4 linked regions of the Oryctolagus cuniculus genome follow. The protein of the gene in region 3 binds, or shares a complex with, the protein of the main gene of each other region. Links are inferred from orthologs where the notes say so. Each region holds a gene or a part of one and is shown on either strand. Other genes may lie near its edges.

Region 1 (4,035 bases), on a different chromosome or scaffold from region 3:
CTGCAGGGAGAGGGGGCCTCTACTTAAGTTGTTTCTTAAAAAAAAAAAAAAAAAAAAAAGTTTAATTAGGCCAGTTTAGCTTATATTATTAAGATTGGTTAAATGCAGTACAATAGTTATTTCCCCCATGTTAAAATACCCATATTTCTGCTCACTTTTATAATGACTACTTATATTCCCGTGTAAATGTATCTTGCTCATCAAATGCTTTCTCAAGGAGCCAGGTATCCAAGAGCCTCACCTCATTCTGCCCCCTTCTTTCACCACCACCATCACCACTAAGCATGTATCTTTTTCTAAACTTGAGTCAATTTAGGTTCTAGGTTACTGGGACCTAAGAATGGGCCTAACTAATTTGTCAAAGGCAGAGGTTTGTTTCAATCCTTCCTCTAAGTACAAAATATTCTCAGCAAATTTGTATCAAAAGGCTTTTGTTTTTCTAAAGTTAAGGCAACTCAATTACCTTTATTAACATTTAGTATACATTTTTAATACTGTGTAACACACTGCTTTCAAGATGGTGATATGTATGGCCTCTCGCAGCACCACAGAAGTGAACAGCCGCTTATCTACCCAGGTACTTTCTTGACACTCTATGATTAAGTTCAGTACCTATTCTTGAGGTGTTACGCTTCATTCATCACAGTTTTTGTTGGATGTGAAGTGTTGTAGCTCTTGGGACTATCCAAGTATTCATAGAAGCAAGATAGAACTAAATGTCTAAAGTGTACTGTCGTGCTGTCGGGCTTTTTAAGCATTTCTTCCTTGGCTGTATAACAAGAACTGTAAATCAATTCCCAGGGCCGAGTCACATCAACTCCCCACCTTCAAAGTATTACCTGTCAAACTGACCGAGAGAAACAAAATAAAACCAAAAGACAAGATGCTGCAATCACAAGTACTTTAATTTTTTTTTTTTAAATCACTTATTTAACAGATGGCAGGACTCTACTCTGAAGTTGAACCAAGGAAAACAAACGGAGTGGCACAGTCTCGGAGGTCAGTCCTGCACTAGGAAATCCCACTGGCTCCGTGCGCTTGGCAGGCAGCGTCTTCCGCAGGCAAAGACACCACTCTCAAAGGTGACACTCCACTGCCACAACTATTTCACTTGAGACGCTTAAACGACCCGAACAGTGTAAAGAGTTTTATTTGCAAAGACAGCATTACAGAGCACAGCTTCCACACTGCAAAGGTTGCCGGTCCCCACGAAGTATTACAGCACCCAAGAAGTCCGCGCTCCCTGGACTCCTTGAACTGTCAAGGCACTGCCCCTGCTCACTCGGCTGCACCTGCAAGGAGTGGTCGTTAAGTTACTGTCAAGCAGCCGGGGCAAACCAGAGGAAGAGGCCATCATGTTCGCGTCTGGACCCAACTCCGCCACCGAGCGAAGCCACGACTGGGATACAAGGTCCAGCCCTGAAAGCAGTCATTTAAATACAGAAACCCACTCAATTTAAGACACCCCAGCGTTAACACTCGTGTGGGTGGGTTTCCTTAAACTGAGCGGCTAAGGGGAACAAAGTCCTTGCCTCTCTGTCCAAATGTAGCGCTACCACGCTGCCCTTGCTCACACGTGGAGCGATTAAAAGGCAGGCGCAACTTCTGTTCCAAGTAAATCATCCAGAGAAAGGCTTCGGCACGGCCGCGCGGCCCCGCACACCCGCGCCCTACGCCCGTGTGCGCTCCGCTCCCGCTAACTAGCGCTGCACGAAGCCGCGTCTCCCACCAGGAGTGAAGGGGCCCGGGCCGGCACGCAGCGCCCCTCGGGCGGGCCCCGCCGGGGCTCCACGTGGGCGCCGTGCAGAGCGCCCAGCAGCGTCCCAGGCCACCGGCAAGCGAGCGTCCCCGGCTGCGCCCGCGCTGCCCGGCGCCGGCCCCGGAGCGCCACCCAGCGGCGCGCGGAGAGGCCTGCAGGCGGGGCCTCCGCGGCTCGCGGCTCCGCGGCTCGCCGCACCCCCACCGCCACCCAGCCCGCTCCCCTCGCCGGATGCACAAGGCCCAACCCAAGCACTAAGACCACAAAATGGCTGCCGGCAGCTTCGTCACGTGACCCCTTTGTGCCTTTCGGGCCCCCGAACTCCGCGGGACCCGGGTACCAGGGCCCGGGGTCGGCGGGTGGCCCGAGAGGAGGCCCCGCCGGGCCGCGGCGGCCGGGGGTCGCGGCCGGGGGCGGCGGGGGAGCGGCCCGGCCGGCGACCGAGAGTCGGCGGCGAGGAGAAGATGGCGGCCATTTTGTGTGGGTCGGCTGCTCCGCCGCCGCAGGCAGCAGTGGAGCGGGCCTGGCGGCGGGTCGGACAGGGGAGTTAACACGTACCGACTCCTCTTCCTTCTCCATTCCGGTGGGCATCTGCGGCACGGCCCGGTTTATCGAGGCGTATTCGTGCAGGTCGGGCAGATCCTCACAGCGGAACACCGGCAGCGGCTTCGAGGCGTCTAGCGCCCGCGCCCGAAACGACAGTTTACTCATCTCAGGCGCAGCAGATACCTCTCCGCTCTGGGGAAACGGCCCCGGCCAGCGGGATCATGGAGAACCGGGGGTTCGGTCCCCACTCGCCTACCGCTGCCGGGGACTGGAGGGGCGGAGCGCAGAGCCCGCCGTCCGGGCACTAACACCAGCCGGGAGGGTGGGAGGCTGTGCCGCTCCGCTCCTCTCTCGCTCGCTCTCTTCAATACGCCATGGCCAACATGGCGGACATTAAAACTCCACTGTGCGCTCTTCAGCCAACCCCAGCCATTCCCCACACTGCATCGCGCAGCGGCGCGGGCACGCGGGGGGGGGGGGGGAGCGCGGGCTCGAGGCCGGGCGCCGGCACGGAGCGCGCGTCCCGCCAACCCCCGGCGCCCGGCGCCCGGCGCTCGCGGCTCGCGGCTCGCGGCTCGGGGCCCCCGCCCGGCGCGGGCTCGGGGGCGGCCGGGGCGCTCGGACGCCGGGCGCCGGCCGGAGGCTCCCGCTGCACTTCGGGGCGCAAACGCTCACTTTCTCACGCTCGCTCCCGCCGCGCTGCCCCGCGCACTCCTCCACTCCTCCCCTCCTCCCCAGCCGGCGCCGGTACAGGGAAACTGCGCCCGCACGCCCGGGCCTGGGGAGGGCGACGCGGAGGGGACGACGGGCCGAGGCTGCGGCCCCGGGGTCACCGGGCTCGGGCACCCGCGTCACCGGGCCGGCGCACGGACGCCGCGCACCCCTGCCCGTGCGGGTCTTTAACATAGAAACGCACACGGAGTGCTGCTTGCGGTAAACTTTTACCGGCAATTATTTTTATGTCGACCGGAACTTCGGATTATAGTATTTGATAGGCTCCGCGATCAAATCGCTGGTCAGTTTCCCACCCGTGGGCAGGCATCCTATTCCACTACAAAAGTAGCTCTTAAAAATGCATGCTACATTTTATCTTATGTGTTTTACTGTGATTGAAGCAAAGGGGATTATACTGGACACCACCTTCATGAAAAAGCATTTAAATCAAGATCTACTTCAAAACCTTAACGCCAGTTATTTATATTCAGTTCACGATTTTCTGTTTGCACCGCAAGAAAAAAAAGCTGTTTTCAACATCGCCATGAGTTCTCGCTCGAATTTGTCCTCTGAAAACTTTATAAAATGGAATCATACAAAGACCTGGAGCGATCCCACCGAACCCAACGAGAAAAGCTGAACGATTGGAAGAGGTTTGGATGGAGCTGACAGACTGCCAACACCTGGTTTATATTACACACTAAAGTGGGTATCCGCTGATCCCTTTCCAGGGAGGTATTTTAAAAATCAGAAAGATTGTTGCAGTGGGTTTTGTAAGTGTGACAGCAAGATTTCACTCGTATGCCAAGATGCAAACATGTTTTCTAAGTCTGCCTTTCTCGCCGGGGGCTACATAATAAAAAATAATCGCTATTCCCAAATACTGGGTTTGGGATGAACTGTTATTAGCTTACGGGGCATAGGGGAACTGCTATCTTCCAGGCTGGTTTAGCTGCCCTCCACTAGGTGGGCAGAAGACAAGGGGAGCGGAAACCACAATTCTCTGCAGTCACCCT
Region 2 (3,983 bases), on a different chromosome or scaffold from region 3:
CTGGGAAAGCAGTAGAAGATGGCCCAAGTGCTTGGGCCCCTGCACCCACGTGGGAGACCTGGAAGAAGCTCCTGGCTCCTGGCTTCGGATCAGTCCAGCTCTTGGCTGTTGTGGCCAATTGGGGAGGGAACCAGCGGGTGGAAGCTCTCTCTCTCTCTCTCCACCTCTCTAACTCTGCCTTTCAAATAAATAAATCTTTAAAAAAACCCCAATATATAAGTACTTTATATTGTAAACAATGTTTTTTAAAAAGTCCTATAGGGTCTAGTTTTGGTGGGGCTGGGGCCATGGAGAGCCCTCGCTGCTTCCGTCCGTGCCCTCAGGGGCAGTGGAGGAAAGCTGAGCTGGTGTTGGTTCAGAGCGAACGAGGAAGACACCTTCTGGGTTGTCGCAGGTAAAAGCAGGGGCTGTTACATGGAGGCTGGAGTCACAGCAATGGCGCTGCGTCCAGAATTGGCGCGCGGAGGATTTGCAAACCTTGCACGGCGGGTGGGCTGGGGGCCGCTGCGGGGACCTGAGCCCCCGGCTAAGCGCTTGGCTAAGCGCTCCGCCCAAGACCACCAGCCCCCCACCCCCGCCCTGCGTCTCCCTCCTTAGTTCCGCAGGCCGCGGCCCGGCGAGCAGCGAAGGTAGAAACGGGAGTCCAACAATGGCCCTCGGTCCCGTCCACCCAACAAGCCGGCCACGACCCTGCCCCACCAGGAAGCTTCCAGACGTCGACCATTTCCCGAGCCCCGGGTACCCCTCATCTTTGCGGCCTTGGCTTTGCTGAGGGGAACTCCGCAAGCAGTGCGATTCCCACTCTTCCCCCGCGGCTGGCCCCCCGAACCGCAATCCCAGCTCTCACAACCCACAAAACCAGCCCCAGCCGTGAGCCACCCGCGCCGACGGCGCGCGGGCGCCCACGCCGGGTGGGGGAGGGGCGCCTCGTTCCCGCCCCCGCCCCGCGGCGGCGCCCGCCCCGCCGGAACTACAAGTCCCGGCATGCCCCGCGGCGGCGCGGGCGCAGCGGCGCGTGCGCGGCGGCCGGCAGTTGGCTGGCGCGACGCCTGCGCGGGTCGCGGGGCGGTGAGGTGTGCGGACGCTGGCAAATCGGGCCCAGGATGTAGAGCCGGCGGTTCCTGACGGCGCGTCTGACGCTGAGTTGGGTGGGGTAGAGAGTAGGGGGCGGTAGTCGGGGGTGGTGGGAGAAGGAGGAGGCGGCGAATCACTTATAAATGGCGCCCAAGCAGGACCCAAAGCCTAAATTCCAGGAGGGTAAGTGTGCGCCTTTGAGGGGAAGGCGCCTAACGGCCCGGGGAGGCAGGCGGCGCGGGGTGGTGGCGGCCCGCGGGCCGGGGCGGGGGGCTGAGCTTTGTGCGGGGAAGCGCATTGCGCACGGTGGCCCCGGGCGGCCCGAGGGGAAGGGCTTTGTGCGGCGGAGGCGCCGAGGCGGGCGTCGGGGCGGCGGGAGGCGCGCCCGGCGCGGGGCAGAGCCTCGGCCGAGCGTTTGTTATTGTTTGGAGGAGGAGGGCGCGGGCGAGGCAGCCCATTGTGGGGCGGCGGCGCGCCATGGCGGCCGTTAGGGGAAGTGATGTGGCGTGGGGGAGGCGGCGGCGGCGGCGCGGGCGACGGGCCCGCGGCCGCGGTGGCGGGAACCGGCCGGCGGAGCGTGGCCGCCGGCAGCCCCGGGGTGGTCGGCGTTGGGCCGGGACGCGGAGCTGCGGCTGAGGGGGGTGTGGGGGTGCGGGTGGGGGATGGGCGCGGCGCCCCGGGGCGGGAGAACTGCGTTGTAAAATGGCCGCCGCAAGATGGCCGCCGGCGTCGGCGTGGGCCGCGGCCCCGGTGCGGGGCGGGCGCAGCGCCCCCTGGCTCGGCGTCCGCGCGGGGAGGCCCGAGCCCCGCGCTCACCTCGGAGCGGCGGGTGGGGGGCGCGGAGGGGGAGAAAAACAAGACCGGAGCGAGCTGGGCGCTCGGGGCGGCTTTGTGTGGCCTGCGGGCATCGCTGGCTCCGCCCAGGGGCGGGGCCCGGGGTGCGCGTGCGCCGTGCGGCGGCTCGTGTGCCGCGCAGAGAAACGGGCTTTGGTGCGGCCGCGGACTGTGGGTGACCCGCGGCCATAAAACCTGATGAAGTGACTCGACGGAGAATTTGTATTGATTTTTTTTTTTTTTTTTTTATGGGCGAGCGTTTCGGCCGACTTGGGCGAATGGCGGCCCTGGCCTTCGGCGCCCGTGGAGTGTGTATGAGGCTGTCTGTGTTTGCGCGGGTCGCGGGCCGGTGAGGTCTGGGCGAGGAGGAACTGCCCATTTCCTTTCGTGCCAGGGAGATGGGTGCTGAGTACCTCCGATGCCCTGTCCGACGTGCGCGCGGCCTGTGTGGGGGCTTTTCAGGTTGAATGCGTGCAGCTAGGAGAACTTTAAAGACGGAGCCCCAGTGTGCCGTGACTTCAGTGGGATGTGAGAGGGCTCTCCCGGGGTCCCGGGGTACTGTGGGTGATGAGCGCCTCCCGCCTCCCGCCGGGATGCCTGTGGCTGTGTCCTCTGGAGTCGTGATTTTGCTAGGTGTTCAGAACAGGGGTCGATGGATGTCGTTCAGAAAGCCCGTGAGCCTGGCGGGGCACAAAACTTTTTTCTATCAAGGCTGAAACTAGCTATTGCGGATATTAATGGAAACGCTCTCCCTCAACAGCTGAACGCCTCGTTGTAGCAGTGTACTTTTTATATCCCAGCTTTGTGTGGAAGATACAGACCCTGTTTTACGTGTTTGTAGAAATGGAAAAAACTATAGGCTCCGATGTAGGAACAACTCTGCAGCACTTTTTTTTTTTTTTTTTTTAAGAGTTATGGAGCTGGTGCACTCGCTAGATGGCCCCACCAGCCCAGGCCAGGCGCTTCATCTGGGTCTCCCACGTTGTGTGGGGCCCAGGCACTTGGGCCATCTTCTGCTTTCCCAGGTGCCATAGCAGGGAGCTGGTTTGGAAGTGGAACAGCATGAAGGCCGCAGCTTTACCCATTGTGCCACTTGCCCCTCCCCCCGTGTTTCGGTTCTAAACCACAGGAATGGTAGAGTGGGGTGATACTAGGAAGGAACATGGAACCGAGGTACCCAGGTGCGGTCTCCGCGCTTGCTGGGTAGTTTTCTGTTGCTTCACACCTGAATTTAACAGTTTTCTTTGTAAAACTAAAATATTCAGAGAATATCGTGTTAAGGAAGAAGAAATGTTTGTTCAGTGCTACCCGAATTGAAACATTATAGAAGAGAATGTAATGTGATGGGTAAAAGTAGGAATTGCCAGAATTTGATTTTTTTCTGAGTAGTGTGAACCCAGGTTTACTCATGGTACAGAATGTCAGCACAAAGCAGATGAAAATGCAGCGAGCAGTGTTCAGGCATGATGAACGCGCAGGCTTGGGCCACTTGCAGCTGTTAAAGCGCAGGGCAACGGACACTTGGACATTATCCCCTTTGAGGGGAGACAGTTCTGTCAGGAATTAAGAAATTGGCTGATGGTGGCTTTTAATGAGCACAACCAGTGGGAGGATGGGAACTCGGGACTGTCATTAATCTTGAATTTGAAAACATTGAGCAGAATTCGCCTTGGGACTAGAAAGGATTAATGGTGGAGAATAGTGTGAAAAACCTACCAAATATGGTGGCCTGCTGTTTCCAAATTACTGCTCTTCTACTTCAGCGAAAAATCAACGATTTGTTATCCAGGGTCATGCTCTTAAGCTAGCTGGTATTTCAACAGAATACTAGGGTCAGGTAGCTAGAATGGAGGTCAGAAGGTATCAGCCTTAGGGTAGTTTTTGGCAGCAGCCATCAAGAAAAGAAGAGAGGAGAGATTAAGCCATTTTCGCGGTACCTTAAAAATGTACATGGAAGTGGAACCAGGGAGCTCACAGATCAGCTCTTTGGTGCTGTTGTTTGTTAGCAGTGTAGTTTATCTGTACCCCTAAGCTGTTGGAAAAGTCACTGATCTTGGTATCTCAGTCTCCACTTT
Region 3 (4,123 bases):
GTAAAGAGCACTCAGGGCTGGTGTTGTGCCACAGCAGCTTAAGGTACTCCCAGGGATGCCCACATGTCGTATCAGAGTGCAGGCTGGAGTTCAGCTACTCCGTTTCCAGTCCAGCTTCCTGCAAGTGTGCCCAGGAAAGCAGCTGGGGATGGCCCAAGTCCTTGGGCCCCTGCTACCGATCTGGGAGACTTCTATGGGTTTAGCCTCATCCAGCCTGGCTGGATGGTCATGTTGTGGTCATTTGGGGATTGAACTAGTGGATGGAAGATCGCTCAATCTCATAGTCTCTGTCTCTGTCTCTCTCCCTCTCTAACTCTGCCTTTCAAATAAATAAAATAAGCCTTTAAAAAGTAATATTTTAAAAACAGTATACATATTGGGAAGGAGTAACAATATAAAACAATTCCCTATTTGCAAATAAAATGATTGTCACAGAAAAAATTCCAAGGAATCTGGACTAGAAAACCCTTCCTAAAATTAATAAGGGAGCTTGGCAAGATCCCAGGTTACTAAATCTATACACGAAAAGAAATTTCCAGAAATTAGCAGATAGACAAGATGGAGAATATAGATAGTAAAACTTAAAGGATTAAAGACGTTTCTTTCTTTACTTGAAAGGCAGAGAGAGAGGCAGAGAGCTTCCATTGGCTGCTTCACTCCCCAAATGCCCACAACAGCTGGGGCTGGGCCAAGCCCAAACCAGGAGCCTAGAACCTAACCCAGGTTTCCCAACTGGGTGGCAGGATCCCATGACATCCCCTTCTGCCTCCCAGGGTGCAGGTTAGCAGGAAGCTGGAATCAACATACCCAGGACTGAAACTGGGGCCCTTCGATATGGGACGCCAGCATCTCAAGCTGGCGCTTAACTCCTGAGCCAAATGCCCACCCCCAAATAAAGGATTCTTTAAAAAAAATTATTTGAAAGGCAGAGTTACAGAGAGAGAGGTCTTCCAAACGCTGCTTCACTCCGCAAACGGCTGCAATGGCCATGGCTGGGCCAAGCCAAGCAGGAGCCAGGAGCTTCACCCAGGGTGGGTGGAGTGAGGATAACCCTCAGGCTCTGACTCGGGCCCCTCGGTGGCAGTGAAGTCATTCCCCAGGGGAATGACTAGGAACTCTAAGCACGAGCCTGGCTTTGGACACTGTGAGCCCGCGGTGCCCCTAAAGCTCGCCGGCCAATCCTAGTGCGGAAAGGCAGATCCCAGCAGGTGCGGCAGCCCCACCTGCCGGATCCATCCCCGGGGCAGGGTTTCCCAGCGCCCCGCCCAAGCGCGGCGCCCGGCGGCGCGCGTCTCCGGAAGCCGCTCGCGCAGGCGCAGTGCAGCGGGCGCCCCCTGGCGGTCGGCAGCGGATCGCAGGGCCCGCCCCCAGCCGCCCGCCGCTGCTGCCCGCCTCAGCCCAACATGGCGATGCACAACAAGGCGGCGCCGCCGCAGATCCCGGACACCCGGCGGGAGCTTGCCGAGCTCGTGAAGCGGAAGCAGGAGCTGGCGGTGAGCGGCTGGGACCCGGGGCTCCGGCGTGGGGCCCCGCGCTCGCCCGGCCGCCGACCGCCAGCCCGGCCGCACCAGGCCGTCGGTTACTCCGGGGACGCCGCGCGCGGCCCGGGAGTCCGGCGGCCTGGGCCGGGGCGCGTGCCGCCGAGCGCCGTTTCCGGCGGTGCGGAGGCGGAGCGGCGGCCGGAGCCCGGAGGGGGCGGGGAGCGGGCCTCGGCGGCGCGGAGGAGGAAGGGCGCCGCGGGCCGGGGCGTGTGCGTGCGGGCGCCTGAGAGGGCGGGTGTCGTGGGTCGTGCGGGTGGGCGCGGGCGGAGGCGGGTCCCGGCCTGCGGGTGGGCTTTGGGGATGAGCCGAGTGTGGGAGCCGGTCTGGTCTCTGAGAGGATGGTGGGGGGGTAGGTCCCTTTTGGTCCTAGGAGCCCATCCGTGGGAGGGTGTCTGGGATGGGCAGGGGTGTGATCTTTCCAGAAGGTGACAGGCGGGGGACGAGGACCGGGTTGGGAAACTGGGAGCCGTGACGTGCACCCCGCGTTTGGGCGCACCTGCTGCCGCCCTTCCAGGTTTCCATGACAACGGGCAGCCCGGGGCCGGCGGCCTCGCCGAGCCCTTGGGAGGGCAGTGCCCAGTGCCTCGCTCATTCCGCGCCTGGTGGCGGTCCCCTTTGTGCGTGGGCGTGGAGCCTGCCCCTGTTCTGCCTCGGCCCGGTTCTTGACACTTGGGTTTCCGAGAGCCCTGTGCAGAATTCCGCACGTGTGGGCGTTTACCTGGGGACAGGCTCTGTGGAGTCCGTTCTGTTCCCAAAGGGGTCGGGCCATCACCCCGAAAGATCCAGACTCTTGGACTTGAATGGCCTACCGTTCCTGGAGTCCTCCAGCCCTCCACGAAGGTAGTTTAATGTGGGTGAGTTTGGGTTTATGATAAGCCCAGGGTCAGGCTTTCAGTGTGGGCACAGCTAATCCCCGGCCTGGCTTGTCGTCTCCCAGGAAACTCTGGCCAACTTGGAGAGACAGATCTATGCTTTTGAAGGAAGCTACCTGGAAGACACTCAGATGTATGGCAATATCATTCGTGGCTGGGACCGCTATCTAACCAACCAAAAGTGAGTTTCCAAAGGTTGTGCTCTCGAAATACCCATTTGTGGGATTGTGTGTTGTTGACAGCCATGGGGCCGGGGAGGCAGCAGCCGTCAGGTGGTGGTGTGCAGGGAGGTCTGGGCTTGAGCTGGCACTGAGGGTCCGCCCCTGCCTCCCCGAGTAGAACAGGGGGAGTCTGGCCCTGCCCAAGAGCTGTGTAAGGCTTGGATGGAGTACGGCGTGTGACAGTCTGCACAGCTCTGGTAGTGTTTTCCACATTTTGATCAGTCTTGAGTTCAACCCTTGGAAGTTTTGCCATACCTGTGTGGCTACTGTACTACAGTGTTATTCTTTGGGACTGGCTGTGTGGCACAGGGGGTTAAACTGCAACCTGTGACGTCAGCATCCTGTTTAAGAGAGCCAGTTCTAATCCCAGCTGTTCTGTTTTCAATCCAGCTCCCTGCTGATGTGCTAGGAAGGCGGTGGAAGATGGCCCACAAGGTTGGGTCCCTGCCAACCGTGTGGGAGACCAGGTAGAGTTCCAGGCTTTTGATTTTGGCCTGGCCCAGCCCTGGCTGTTGTGGGCATTTGGGGAGTGAACCACGGATGGAAGACCTCTCTTTCTTTGTCTCTCCCTTTCTGTTACTCTGCCTTTCAAATAAATAAATCTTTTAAAAAAATATTTCATTTATTTGAAAGGCAGAGTGACAGAGATCTTTCATATGCTGGTTCACTCCCCAAATGGTGCAACAGCTGGGGCTGGACTGATCTGAAGCCAGGAGCCAGGAATTCCATCCAGGTCCCCTGCGTGTTGCAAGGGCCCCAAGCATTTGGGCCGTCTTCGGCTGCCCTTCCAGGCACATCAGCAGGGAGCTGGATTGGAAGTGGAGGAACTGGGACAGAAACCGGTGCCCATATGGGATGCCAGCACCCACTTAACCTGCTACGCTACAGTGCTAACCCCCATATAAGTAAAATGTTAAAAAAATGATTCTTTTCAAATTTTGGAAATTTTTAAAAATTTAAGTAGAATTTTTTAAAAAATTTACTTATTTATTTGAAAGAGTTACGCAGAGAGAGAGAGGGAGGTCCTCCATCTGCTGGTTCATTCACTCCCCAGATGGCTGCAAGGACTGGAACTGCGCTGATCCGAAGCCAGGAGCCAGGAGCCTCTTCTGGGTTCCCCACGTAGGTGCAGGGTCCCAAAGACTTGGGCCATCTTCCACTGCTATTCCAGGCCATAGAAGAGAGCTGGATCAGAAGAGGAACAGCCAGGACTAGAACTGGTGCCTATATGGGCTGCCAGCGCTTCAGGCCAGGGTGTTAACCCGCTGCGCCACAGCGCGGGCCTTAGGTAGAATTTTTTTTTTTTACGTTTATTTGGAAGACAGAGTGGCAGGCAGAGAGATTTTCCATCAGGTTAAAGGCAGGCTGAAGCCTGGAGGCAGAACTCAGTCCTAGTCTCTCCTGGGTGACTCCTTGAGTCACCACCTGCAGCCTCCCTGGGCGCACATTAGCAGGACATTGGAATTGGAAGCAGATGGGACTCAAGCCT
Region 4 (4,143 bases), on a different chromosome or scaffold from region 3:
CCTTCAGGACCCCGACTTCCGGTTCCCGGATCTCCCTCAGAACCTCCACCCTGGTCCCTGAACCACTTCAGGACCGCGAACACTGACTGGATTTGACCCCAACCCCGGGTCCCGAGATCCCCCTCGGGACCCCGACCCCCGGTCCCAGAACCCCTCAGGACGCTGACCCCTCGTCCGTGGCTTCCCTCAGCACCCTGACCCCCGTGAACCCCTTAGGACTCCGACCCCTGGTCACAGGATCTCCACCCTCAATCCGAACACTGACTGGATTTCCTCAGGACCCCGACCCCTGGTCCGAGAACCCCTCAGGACCCCGACCCTCAGTCCAGATCCCCCTCAGAACCCCGACCCCTGGTCCCAGGGTCTCCACCCCCACTCCACTTCAGGACTGCGAACACTGACTGGATTTGACCCCAACCCCGGTCCTGGGATCCCCCTCAGGACCCCGACCCCCGGTCTGAGAAACCCTCAGGACGCTGACCCCTCGTCTGCGGCTTCCCTCAGGACCCCGAACCCTGGTCCGAGAACCCCTCAAGACCCTGACACTGGGTCCCGGAATCCCCCTCAGGACCCTTCTCGGCTTCTGAGCCCCCTCAGGACCCGACCCCTGGTCCCAGGGCCTCCACCCTCAGTCCCCAAACACTGACTGGATTTCCTCAGACCCTGACCCGGTCCATGAACCCCTCAGCACGCCGACCCCTGGTCCCAGGATCTCCACCCCTGGCCCCGAACACTGACTGGATTTCCTCAGGACCCCGACCCCGGTCCCGGGATCCCCCTCAGAACGCTTCCTCCCAGTCCCCGATCCCCCTCAGGACCCCGCCCCCGGGTCCCCGATCCCCCTCAGGACCCTTCCTCCCGGTCCCCGATCCCCCTCAGGACCCTTCCTCCCGGTCCCCGATCCCCCTCAGGACCCCGACCCCCGGGTCCCCGATCCCCCTCAGGACCCTTCCTCCCGGTCCCCGATCCCCCTCAGGACCCTTCCTCCCGGTCCCCGAGCCCCCTCAGGACCCTTCCTCCCGGTCCCCGATCCCCCTCAGGGCCCTTCCTCCCGGTCCCCGAGCCCCCTCAGGACCCTTCCTCCCGGTCCCCGATCCCCCTCAGGACCCTTCCTCCCGGTCCCCGAGCCCCCTCAGGACCCCGACCCCCGCCCGCCGCCGCCGTGACGCGGCCCCCACCGCCCCGCAGCCGCAGCCGCAGCCGCGGCCCCGCCCCCGCCCCGCCCCGCCCCGCCCCGGCCCCGCCCCCGGCGCCGCGCGGGCCGCGTCACGGCGGCGGCGGGCGGGGCGCGCCTCGCACGCAGGCGCCGGGCGGAGCGCTCGCCGCATTGTTTGCTTCGCTGGGGAGCGAGCGGCCGGCCCGGGCGTCCGAGCAGCCCCGCGCCCGACCCGCGCTCGTCCCCGCCCCGTCCCCGCGCCCGCCGGCCGGGCCCCGCGCCGGGCCTCCAGCCGGGCCCAGCCGGCGCCGCGCGAGCCGCGCCCGCGCCCGCGGCCGCCCCGCCGGGCCCGCAGCCGCCGCGGCCATTCGCCCGCGCCCTGAGCGGCGGCGGGGCCCGGCCTGCGCGGCCGTTGGCGGAGGAGCCGCGGGCGCCATTAGCGCCGCCTCGGCCGCGCCGGTCCCGTGCCCGCCGCCCGCCCGCCGGGCTCCCGCGGCCGCGGCGCCCCGGAGGTGAGTGGGCGGGGGCGGCCGGGAGGGCTCCCCGGGGCCTCGCGGGCCCGCCGCCGCCTCGGCCCGGCCTCTCGGGGTGGGGGTGCGGGCGCCATGTTTGCGACGGCGGCGGCTCCGCATTGTCCGCGGGCGGGCGGCCGGGCGGCCGGGGCGGCGGCGGCGGGGCGCGGGAGGCCGGGGCTGTCGGGCCGGCCGGGCCGGGCGCGCCGGGCGGGGGCCGCCGGGCCGGGGAGGCCGCGGAGGCCGGGAGTCGGGGCCCGGGGCGGGCGGGCGGGCGGCCGCTGCGCACGGGCGAGGGTCCCGCCCGGAGTCCGCGCCGGGCCGGGGCTGCCGGCGGGGCGCGTTATGTAACCGAGCGGCCCGGCTCGCCTGCGGGCACGGGAGCTCCCGGGCGGCCTCGCCCCGCGCGGCGTCGGCCCGCACCCTGCCGGGCGTCGCGGGGCCCGGCGCGCGCGGCGTGGGCGGGAGAAGAAACTTTCCGTGGGGTCCGGCCGCGGGGCGCGCGCGGCGCGGGGCTCCGCGGGGTCCGGTGCGGACACGGGGTACCGGCTCGCGCCGGGCCGGGTGTGCGGGTCCCGGCGCCGCCGCGGCCGCCCGTTGCTCGGCTGTGTTTCCCGCACTGGTTCCCGCAGCCGCGGGTGTGCGCAGAGCCCGGGGCCACGTGCGGGGAAGCGCTCCTCGCAGACGCGGCCGGACGCGGGCCGCGTGGGTGTGGGAGGCCGGGTCGCAGCCGGAGCGCTGGGCGCCGCTGCGAGACAATTGCCGGTTTGGTTGGAACCAACTGTTGCTCGGGCCGCACCTCGGTAATGACAGGAGGAGCGGGCCCTGCCCGTCGGGGCCGGGGTCCGAGGGGCGGCGCCGGGAGGCCCCGCGGCGGGTGAGTTGGGGCGTGGCCGACCCCTGGCTGGAGGAAGACCCCGCGGGCGAGGGGTCTGCGTTTGGGGTTTGCTGGGATGCCCTTCCGGAGTGATGGCGGAGCCTGCTGTTGGCCGGCCCTCCCAGAGGTGCAGCTCGCTCACTGCCAGGCTGTGAGTGCGGGCCGTGGGGGAAGTGTGCGCTGGGAGCTCGCTGGTCCCCCTCCCCGAGGAGAGCGGGTTCTCTTGAGGCCTGGTGGGCAGGTTTGAGGCACCTGGACCCGTGCAGGGGACCCTCTGGGCGGTGCAGGTGCTCCGTGGGGCGGCAGCAGAGCGTCTCCTCCCCTGGTGTTGCCTAGCACGTGGAGGCCAGCGCAGCGGTCAGGCTGGGCTGAGAAATGCCCCTGAGGCTGGGGCGGGTTAACTGGCCCCACTGGTTTCCACAGTGTCACTGCTGAGGTTTGCACAGTTGATTGGGGCCCTCCGGGCATGGGGACACCCCCCAGAGCAGTGCACAGCTCCCCTCGAGTCCTGGAGTGGCTGCTGTGTCTGGCCTCAGCGCACGTGGGGACAGATTACGGAGAGGGTGGACAGGCCCTGGTTTGTCTCCTGCCTCGTTATGTTGTTGGACCCTGGAAGCTCCCAGCCCCCAGCAGGGGTGCCACACGGGGAGCAGGTGCACTTGGGCTGGTGGAGGCGCTTGGGGGCAGCAGTGGGCAGCACAGAGGGCAGTGCAGGCAGAGTGTTGGGACCCAGTGCCCACCTGGACTATGGGTTAGCCCTGTGCATGGTCTAATGGGGGACCAGCTGCACACCAGCCAGTCAGCCCGACACTACACCTGTGGGCAGAGGTGAGGGTCGGGGTCACACCTGCTGGCTTTAGCCAGCAAATGCTGGGAATCCCAGAGCTCCGGAGGGGGCTTGGGCCAGTTGGCAGGAGCCCTCGGGGGCTGCCCCTCCACGCTGCCTCCCTTCCTGGTTCCACGGCTGGCTCCTCTGTCCTGGCAGTTACCCTGTGGCCTGGGGAGGAGGCACCGTTGCAGGGTTATTGAACGTGGCCGTGAGTTTCGGGATGAGCGGTTTGAAGTCTCAGCAATCCGAGAGCTGTGCGTTTGCTTTTGACTGAGGGTTGAGTTGATGGCTAGCTCTGCCCGAGGTGCTTTCGTGGTTTTCTCTCGTGGCTTTGGTGCTCTGCCTGGGACTAACCTCGGTGTGGTTTTGTTCTAGGTAATCATTACCAAATGAGGAGGAAAGGGCGATGCCATCGAGGCTCTGCAGCGAGGCACCCCTCCTCCCCGTGCAGTGTTAAACACTCCCCCACGCGAGAGACGCTCACGTACGCTCAGGCTCAGAGGATGGTCGAGATAGAGATTGAAGGGCGTTTGCACAGGATCAGTATCTTTGATCCCCTGGAGATCATCTTAGAAGATGACCTCACCGCGCAGGAGATGAGTGAGTGCAACAGCAACAAGGAGAACCGGGAGAGGCCGCCTGTTTGCTTAAGAACTAAGCGTCACAAAAACAACAGAGTCAAGAAGAAGAATGAAGCCCTCCCCGGCAGCACCCACGGCACGCCGACCTCCGCCAGCGCGCTGCCCGAGCCCAGGGTGCGCATCGTGGA

The links. The genes of interacting proteins can lie anywhere in the genome.
Region 1: MEAF6 (region 3) and EPC1 share a complex: the UniProt entries of both Homo sapiens proteins name them as parts of the nuA4 histone acetyltransferase complex. The link is inferred for Oryctolagus cuniculus from reciprocal best matches to the Homo sapiens genes MEAF6 and EPC1.
Region 2: MEAF6 (region 3) and MORF4L1 share a complex: the UniProt entries of both Homo sapiens proteins name them as parts of the nuA4 histone acetyltransferase complex. The link is inferred for Oryctolagus cuniculus from reciprocal best matches to the Homo sapiens genes MEAF6 and MORF4L1.
Region 4: MEAF6 (region 3) and BRD1 share a complex: the UniProt entries of both Homo sapiens proteins name them as parts of the MOZ/MORF complex. The link is inferred for Oryctolagus cuniculus from reciprocal best matches to the Homo sapiens genes MEAF6 and BRD1.

The regions. Positions count from the first base shown.
Region 1 is NC_091444.1:102,740,375-102,744,409, forward strand, and holds the start of EPC1 (enhancer of polycomb homolog 1), read right to left. Parts: upstream 2,801-4,035; 5' UTR 2,471-2,800; coding exon 2,318-2,470; intron 1,146-2,317; exon of another isoform or gene 1-1,145. UniProt on the Homo sapiens protein: Component of the NuA4 histone acetyltransferase (HAT) complex, a multiprotein complex involved in transcriptional activation of select genes principally by acetylation of nucleosomal histones H4 and H2A.
Region 2 is NC_091443.1:105,842,929-105,846,911, reverse strand, and holds the start of MORF4L1 (mortality factor 4-like protein 1), read left to right. Parts: upstream 1-1,183; 5' UTR 1,184-1,217; coding exon 1,218-1,257; intron 1,258-3,983. UniProt on the Homo sapiens protein: Component of the NuA4 histone acetyltransferase (HAT) complex which is involved in transcriptional activation of select genes principally by acetylation of nucleosomal histones H4 and H2A.
Region 3 is NC_091438.1:135,241,569-135,245,691, forward strand, and holds the start of MEAF6 (chromatin modification-related protein MEAF6), read left to right. Parts: upstream 1-1,323; 5' UTR 1,324-1,403; coding exon 1,404-1,493; intron 1,494-2,055; exon of another isoform or gene 2,056-2,341; coding exon of another isoform or gene 2,342-2,395; intron 2,396-2,478; coding exon 2,479-2,594; intron 2,595-4,123.
Region 4 is NC_091442.1:122,871,329-122,875,471, reverse strand, and holds the start of BRD1 (bromodomain-containing protein 1), read left to right. Parts: upstream 1-1,343; 5' UTR 1,344-1,668; intron 1,669-2,023; exon of another isoform or gene 2,024-2,545; intron 2,546-3,749; 5' UTR 3,750-3,763; coding exon 3,764-4,143. UniProt on the Homo sapiens protein: Scaffold subunit of various histone acetyltransferase (HAT) complexes, such as the MOZ/MORF and HBO1 complexes, that acts as a regulator of hematopoiesis.